2 linked regions of the Bombyx mori genome follow. The protein of the gene in region 1 purifies or fractionates together with the protein of each later gene. This does not show direct contact. Links are inferred from orthologs where the notes say so. Each region holds a gene or a part of one and is shown in the gene's direction. Other genes may lie near its edges.

Region 1 (3,236 bases):
GAATGTACTATTTCTAGGAGACCCAAAATAGTTAAATAAATACTGTGAATTTTGTACTCTGTTTGTGTTGTTAAAGTTATTCACTGGTACCGTAGGTATTTCCAACTTTTTTAGTCGTTCCTTTTTCTTGGCGTTTTTTCCTTTCGACGGGGTAGTTGGGGTTACCTGTTCTGTCTCCCCGTTATCACTGTCGCTTTCAATTTGCAAATTCTGGCACTTATTGGAAACATCGTTAATTGATGAATTGTTGAATACCATGGTAGGTACTGTAACTTCTGATCTTTGTTTTTTTTTTGATTTTTTGGGTGTTCGTTTAGGTGAATCGACTTTGTTTTCATTTATTGCTTTGTCACTTGATGTTTTTTGTGGTACTGACGACGTGGAGACCACCGATGTTGTTGGTTCACTGCATGCTGCATCCATTCTTAATGAGTTATGGCTTGACATGGCGCAAAAAAATAAAAACTGTAAAATACTTATAAGCAGGTATGGAGTATTACAAGCCTGCTGCTTTTGTCTATAAATGTGAATGATTACATTTCTCCTCAATATTTACAATAATTTTACACAGAATTATACTCAATTTAATATTTTTAAATATTTATGTACGGCCAACGGCTACAAGACCTTATATCCATTCTAATTTAAAAAATGTAAATATATTTTTTTTCAACAATTTAATATAAATGCTTATCCCTTCCGAATGCAAAGAAAGGTCAAGCTAGTAAATTGACCGTCAGACAGAGCCCACTGAGTTTCTCGCCAGTTCTTTTCAGAGAATCTCGATTCTGGTCCAGTGGTAGATTCAGAGAAGCACCGCTCTAACTAAAGCTAGTGCTAGTAAGTTCTCCATGCTGAGCCTACACGTTCGGTGAACCTGGCTTATCGCCTCGAGGCGCAAAAATTTTGTACCAGTTTTCGAAAAGTAGTAACAATAATAGACTAATAGATTACATTGAAGAGACTCGGGCAAATTACTATTAATCCATTATTTATTTTATTACTTTCTTATTATACTCTGCGCGAGTATCACCTCGAGCTACGACTGAAAAGGTGAACAAGTTACAACTTTTTCGCGGGAACGCGAGGAGTGAAGTTGTGTGATTTGTTTTATTTTGTCTATTTAGTGTTTCTTCAGATTGAAATGCATAATAACGGTGGTTTATTAACTGTTTAGTATCTTTGAAAGTGCACAAATGTGGGAAAATAAAATAAAGCCGCTGGACGTAACTTATCGGGATCATCCAAAACGTCCATTGAAAAAATCTCAGTAAACGACCAACATTTTACTGAGATTATATTTCATCTCATCTCATTTCATTTGATTTCATCCCAGTTGATTAATGTCTCAAATTCTTCATTTCACTCCATATCATCATTTTTCATAAAAATACCCATATCATAATTATCATCTCATCTCATTTCAATTCATTTCATGCCATGCCATTAAATTAATCAGCTTCATTTCATTTCATAATATATTTCATAAAAAAAAAAAAATCTATAACAGACTAGGCTGTATGGTGTGATACCTTTGCCTTTCCATTTGGAAAAATAAAACTACCACTACTTACTGCTGTCAGGTCACTACTCACTACACAACTGAACAAAAACTAAACATAACCTCAAATATCTAATTATGCACGTAAAGTACATAATAACAAATATGTTTTAAGAAAATTCTACAAAAAAGTGCCAATAATCTTAATCGCTTGGTTCTACTCGTGAAAAGCTATTATTGTCAAGACTTCAATTCCTACTGAAGTTGCATAATACAAATATAATAATGAAACTAATTACCCACAATATGCTCACTTCGAAATGCTTGAAAGGTGTTGTGACTGGCTATCCTCTTGCAATTAACGCGACAGACATTAAAGTTAAAGAAGTCGATTTTAATCCTGAATTTATTAGTCGTGTAATACCAAAGCTGGATTGGGAAGTATTATGGGTGGCCGCTGATAGCATCGGCCACAGTGATGGTCTGCCAAGATCTTTAGAAAATAAGTATGATGAAAACGAAGAGTTTTTGAAGAAAGCTCATAAAGTCTTGTTAGAGGTGGAAGTTGAAGAGGGACACTTGACTTGTCCAGAATCTGGAAGACAATTTCCGATTTCTAAAGGAATTCCTAATATGCTATTAAATGAAGCTGAAGTGCAGTAGTTCACAATTTAGAGCCTGTACTAAAAATATTAGTAACAAATTTTTTATTTAAGCATTAATTTTATTGCAGTAACATTACATAGGATTGTTTTATTTTTTATGTAAAGAAGTGCTATGGTGCATGTAAATTTGTTTCATATTAAATATTTTAAGAAATGTACCATTACTTTATAATTTCTACAATATAATTTACTGTGAAAGATTTTTATGTAATCCTTGTATACTAAATTTTAAGTTGCTTAATAGGTAAAATCAGTATGAGGCTGCTTCAGGATTCTTGATAAATATTTGGGGAAAACTTTCTTACGCATATGTTGTATACTAAAAGTATCCTTTCAATAAAGAAAATATTGTTTTTCAATTTATATAATAACTTAACTGAATTATTGAAATGAGGTTATGTACTGTAAACGTGATAACATGTACAAAGCACTGAGGGCACCTTACTTAGAAAATACCAGTGTTCACAGTAGAAAAATGGTGACAATTTCTGACATTATATATTTCCCTATGATACGGTGATTGTATACTGTCAGTCAACGGAACGAATTTCGCCCCAGTAAGAGGACTGAACAGTCCTCGCAGTGTATATTGGAATATAGCCTTTACTGCACACTTTACTCTATTTAAAGCTGCTATATTAATTCAATTACCACTACCTGTACTAATACTATTTTAGTGAGCTTCAAACAATAACCTGCTGTATACAGGCGGACACTTTTTCAACTTGTACCTTAAACAAGATGGTACTTCTTAGTTGTATCCTCAAGGACGTTAATACTGATAACTTCATACTAGTTTAAAAGCTAGGACACTATTGTAAGTAATTGAGACTTCGACCTGTAATAGTATAATTACATCTTTTATGGCTGTAATGGCTTTTAAATTAAATTATAAATGATAAGAATTATAGATTTGAAGCCAATCACATGACTGCTATAATCTACAAAATATAACTAAAATTAGTACATGAAAAGAAAGCTGTTACTCTAAACTCTGAGTATAATTACAGTGCGTTTGCATTATATACACTACCACTCAAAAGTTTGGAAATACTAGGGTAATTTAAATA
Region 2 (4,556 bases), on another chromosome or scaffold:
CGGTACACTAATCTTGAGACTATGACTATGGTTATAAATTTTTGATCTCTTTGGCATGGATCAGGAATGAAAGAAAATGCATCAACTGCATTTGGGATCACCGAAACTTTGTGAGCTTGAACTTTGGCCCTTAACACTGTGTTCTCTTTGCCAGTGTGAGATACACATATGCAATGATCAATCTCACTGAGACATATTTGTAAATACTTGTTTGTCAGTACAGCTGATGTGTCAGCAAACCCAAATAAACTGTGGTCAGTGAATACAGTTTTTAATCCCATTAATTTGCCTATAATACATACTTCATGACACAAAACACTAAAAGCAGAATGACCATGAACTATTTCAATGCATTCTCTTATCAATATATTTCTTATTAAAGCTATATTACATATCATTGTTGGCAATACGCACTGGGCATAAAATACTCTAATAGGTAAATAGTAAACTTTTAAGCCTGCGGTTAAATATCGGATACCGACTCTGTCGCCATAAGAGTGAGTTAGTACTATGACTTTGTGGCCTCGTTTAATGAGACATTGTGACAAATTAAATATATGCTCTTCTACACCTCCGGTATTCGGGTAAAAGAAATCTGAAGCCATACAAACAACTTGCCTCTTTTTTCTAGTATCCTGAAAAGTTAAATAATTATTAATTATTTAAGTATTGTCGTAGAAAAAAGTAGGATAAGGAGCAATTATCTATTCACATGTACAAGCCCAGTAGATTAATAAGATTTTTTTACCATTTAAATGAATGTTTTGTACCTTTCTTTGGTACAAATAGTTCAAATTTCGTAGATCTTCAGATAATATCACATCAAATCCAACATACTGTAATACTATTCACAGAATAAAGTATTCAATTTATGTGTAAGAAATATCAATTTTCTGGACCTAACAAATACAATTTTAACCTTGCAACCTATCTATGACACTTTAAGATATCACACATTTTTCAGTAGTCCTTTGGACATGCAAAGGGAATCTAGCCCATACAACAAAATATTATAAAAAAGCCTAAATCTATTGTTTCAAAATGGAAATGGAGCGAAATTAAATAAAACTGAATGAAGTGAGACAAAGTAACACCGAAGGTACGGGATGACATGAAGAGAATTGACCCCTTAGTAAAAATTCCGGATTGAAAACGCTTAAACCAAATTTGTGCTACTCTCACAGACACTGCACTAGGTCCATAAACATCGCAAATATTTTTCGCGGCTTGCGTTGCATTTTTACCTTTTTTGTAGTAAAATTTTAAAATGTATCGAATTTCTTCATTAGATTCACTCATCTTGACAGTGAGAAAAATAAAAAAAAATCACACATTTTCCTAATTCGAATTTGGAATTATCTTCTTTAAAATTTAAACTTTTAATTATACCAAAACCGGCCAGACACAAATATAGCCAAAGAGATTTTATTACAAGTTTATACATACTATAATGCGAAAAGACTTTTCCCCAACCTATTACTTGTGATAATAGATAGGTACGGTACCGTACGGTACCGGTAAAATGGGGCGATTAGGGACAAATTCCAACTTTATGACCAATTTTAAGGTAGTTGTTGATGTATATAATGGTATATCAGGATCAAAATGATTGAGTCTTGGGGGCATCTTTGTTGTCCAATTTAAAACTATGCAACTAGCCTTCCAGTTTAAGCAAAAAAAGCAAAAATTGGTGTAATCCCTATTTACCCGGAAATTGTGGTTAATTGGGACGAAATGAGAAATTTGCTAGGGTGGGCACTACTTGGTTTTAATTTATTTATTTATTTAGTTGCACCAACAAAGTGATCATCAATAAAAAACATTGAAAAACTGACACTCTGAACAAATATTAAATATGTTATTATGTATTACTTAGACATTTTTGTCCACCTTGAGATTTCATTGTTCTTATTACATGTCTGTGCAAATTTGACTTACTTTATATTAAATTGCTTAGCTATTTCAACTAAAGACTTATTCCCAATTAGGCAATTTCCCAATTGCTGTTTTTAATATTAAGGGATAATATCTCTTATAAGGCTTTGCACTCTGATACGTACACGCGAGGCATATCTAAAAATAGAAAACAATACGTAACCGATAATATAAATATTTACCAAACAATAAAATAACACATTGATAATTTTGAATAAAAGTTCTAGACAAAAACATGATGAATAAACCAGATTTTTACCAACAAATTTAAAAAATATTGTTATAACTACATAGACAACCCTACAAACCTGTACCTATTTATACTTAGGTCGTTTCCATTTCACGTATTCTCATCCCAATTGACCCCTTTTTCGTTGTTATTTGTACCTAAGACGTCCCCAATATCCCCAAAAACAACAGCTTTTTACATGTATTTTTATTTTATCAAATACATTAAAACCAATAACAACTGAGACTTACCTTTAATATACATGATGGTTCAAACACTAAATAACGTTTATAAATCACAGTCGTCTTCTATTATTATCAAATAAATAAAAGAGAGCAAAGTTTCTAGCACTAAAATAATTACCACCACAGAAAGTTAATTTGAAACGCGATTTTTTATAAGTTAGCAGCTATTATCATGCATATTCAGAGTTGTTTTGTAAACTTTCAACATTCTACTATTAAACTACAAAAAATGGAAGATTTTGAAACGAATTTTTAACTAATATTGAGCGTCGAAAGATTTTCCCGGCTTTTTCCCGATTCGCCTCTCAATCCCTAATCGCCCCATTTTACGGTACCTACTACCTAATTCGTGAGCAATCATAACATTACAATCATAGATTATACACTTATTATCAAATTCAAGTAAGCAAACGTGAACATTTGTTTCTGTATCAGATTCTGTATTTTTTACTTGTGACAGTGCTCCCTTAGTTAGACTAAGCTTTAAATATATTTGTAATTAGTGTTGATACAACATGGAAGACGATAGAAAACATGAGAAGAAACGCAAACGGTTTGCTGCCCGATTGAATACTCTGAAAGGAATTGTTTGTTATGAAGATCCTAGGCCCGTAAGTAAAATATTTCCATAGCTTACATTCAAGTGTTTATTAAAATCTTTAGCTTGCTATCCCTTAAAATAGTCCAGATATAAATTTAAACATAAATTTCATTAACACTAGTACTTAAACTGCTACAAATTTGTATTATCTTCTATTTTAAATGTATTGTATGGCTTGGAACTAGGTAAATTGCTTATATCTTTACAGAATGTGATTCTTTGCAATGTGGGGCAAGCTACAGGATTTGATAAGCAAAAACTGTTGAAACTGCTCACAGAGTACAAGGTAAACACACCATTGCCTAAGTTTGTTGCCGAGAAAGGAGAATCCTACTCATATCTCATGTTTGATAAAGCCGAGAATGCATCACTATTTTATGAGGCATGCAATGGGAAAGCACAGGTAGATGAGAATGGAACAACACTCTATGTGACATTTGTTGAAAATGGTAAGTTGGAAATGTATTGAATTACTGAATTATCTTATTTCAAGGCAAATCTCTTTGTCATAATTGGTTATAACAAAATTAACTAAAACCTATAACAAATAATCTTATAAAATAATTGCCTTTTTAAATTACTGTCTTTTATATTTGTGAAATGAAGATTTTTTTTCAGTTCCGGATACTGATATTATTTGTAAGCATCCAAATCCTAAAGGCTTACATATAATACCCGATTTTCTTACCGAAGATGAAGAGAAGTTATTCCTTAATACCTTTAACATACAACACGTAGAAACAACATTAAAGAACCGTCAAGTCAAACATTATGGTTATGAGTTCAGATATGGCAGCAATGACGTTGACTTGAGTTGCCCATTGCAGGAAAAAATACCAAAGATTTGTAAATTGCTGTGGAGAAGGCTCCAACACTATGGTTACGATCTCGGAGTACCAGTTCAGCTGACTGTTAACAAGTACTTACCTGGGCAAGGTGATTTTTATTTACTTTATTATATGAATTTTCTAAAGTTCTTCATAATTAATTTTCTCGCTTCCAGTCACTAAGAAATTGTTTGTTGTTGAACTCTTGATTTAGTAGTAATGTCCTCATGACACACACACTCATGTCCACATAATCCAAAATAATAATAATACAAAATTTTTCTTTCAGGTATCCCGTCGCATGTCGACAAACACAGTCCATTTGGAGAAACAATTCTGGCCCTATCACTGGGCTCCAATGTGGTTATGGATTGGAAGCATCACACAGGGAAATATGTGCCAGTTATGGTTGAGGCTAGATCAATGATGATAATGCAAGATGAAGCTAGGTAATAAATGCATTTCTGAGACAAAGTTACAAACAAAGGTACAAAGTAATAAGGATCATTATCATCATCAATTTATAAACGTGTATTTTTTCTTGAGGAATTTCACCTTCATGACGTTTTTAATCTAGAACTGATAAGTGTCTTAATGTAGTGTCAACTCTAAAAGGATAAAAAGAATACTAGTTTGTTATTTCTACAAAATCACTTACAGGCAACTTGTAACAGTAACTAATATTTAAAAATTTGCAAAAACTTTACAAAAAGTAAGTT

What was found.
Region 2: the proteins of multifunctional methyltransferase subunit TRM112-like protein (region 1) and alkylated DNA repair protein alkB homolog 8 purify together in Homo sapiens (co-immunoprecipitation; 3 studies listed by IntAct, with this or other methods). This does not show direct contact. The link is inferred for Bombyx mori from reciprocal best matches to the Homo sapiens genes TRMT112 and ALKBH8.

What each region holds. Positions count from the first base shown.
Region 1 is NC_085117.1:12,729,244-12,732,479, reverse strand, and holds multifunctional methyltransferase subunit TRM112-like protein, read left to right. Parts: upstream 1-1,600; 5' UTR 1,601-1,786; coding exon 1,787-2,164; 3' UTR 2,165-2,529; downstream 2,530-3,236. Other genes in the region: DIS3-like exonuclease 2, read right to left, coding at 1-447. UniProt on the Homo sapiens protein: Acts as an activator of both rRNA/tRNA and protein methyltransferases. Together with methyltransferase BUD23, methylates the N(7) position of a guanine in 18S rRNA.
Region 2 is NC_085119.1:16,153,190-16,157,745, forward strand, and holds the start of alkylated DNA repair protein alkB homolog 8, read left to right. Parts: upstream 1-1,521; 5' UTR 1,522-2,924; coding exon 2,925-3,020; intron 3,021-3,218; coding exon 3,219-3,459; intron 3,460-3,628; coding exon 3,629-3,946; intron 3,947-4,126; coding exon 4,127-4,286; intron 4,287-4,556. Other genes in the region: phosphatidylinositol N-acetylglucosaminyltransferase subunit A, read right to left, coding at 1-635, 749-751.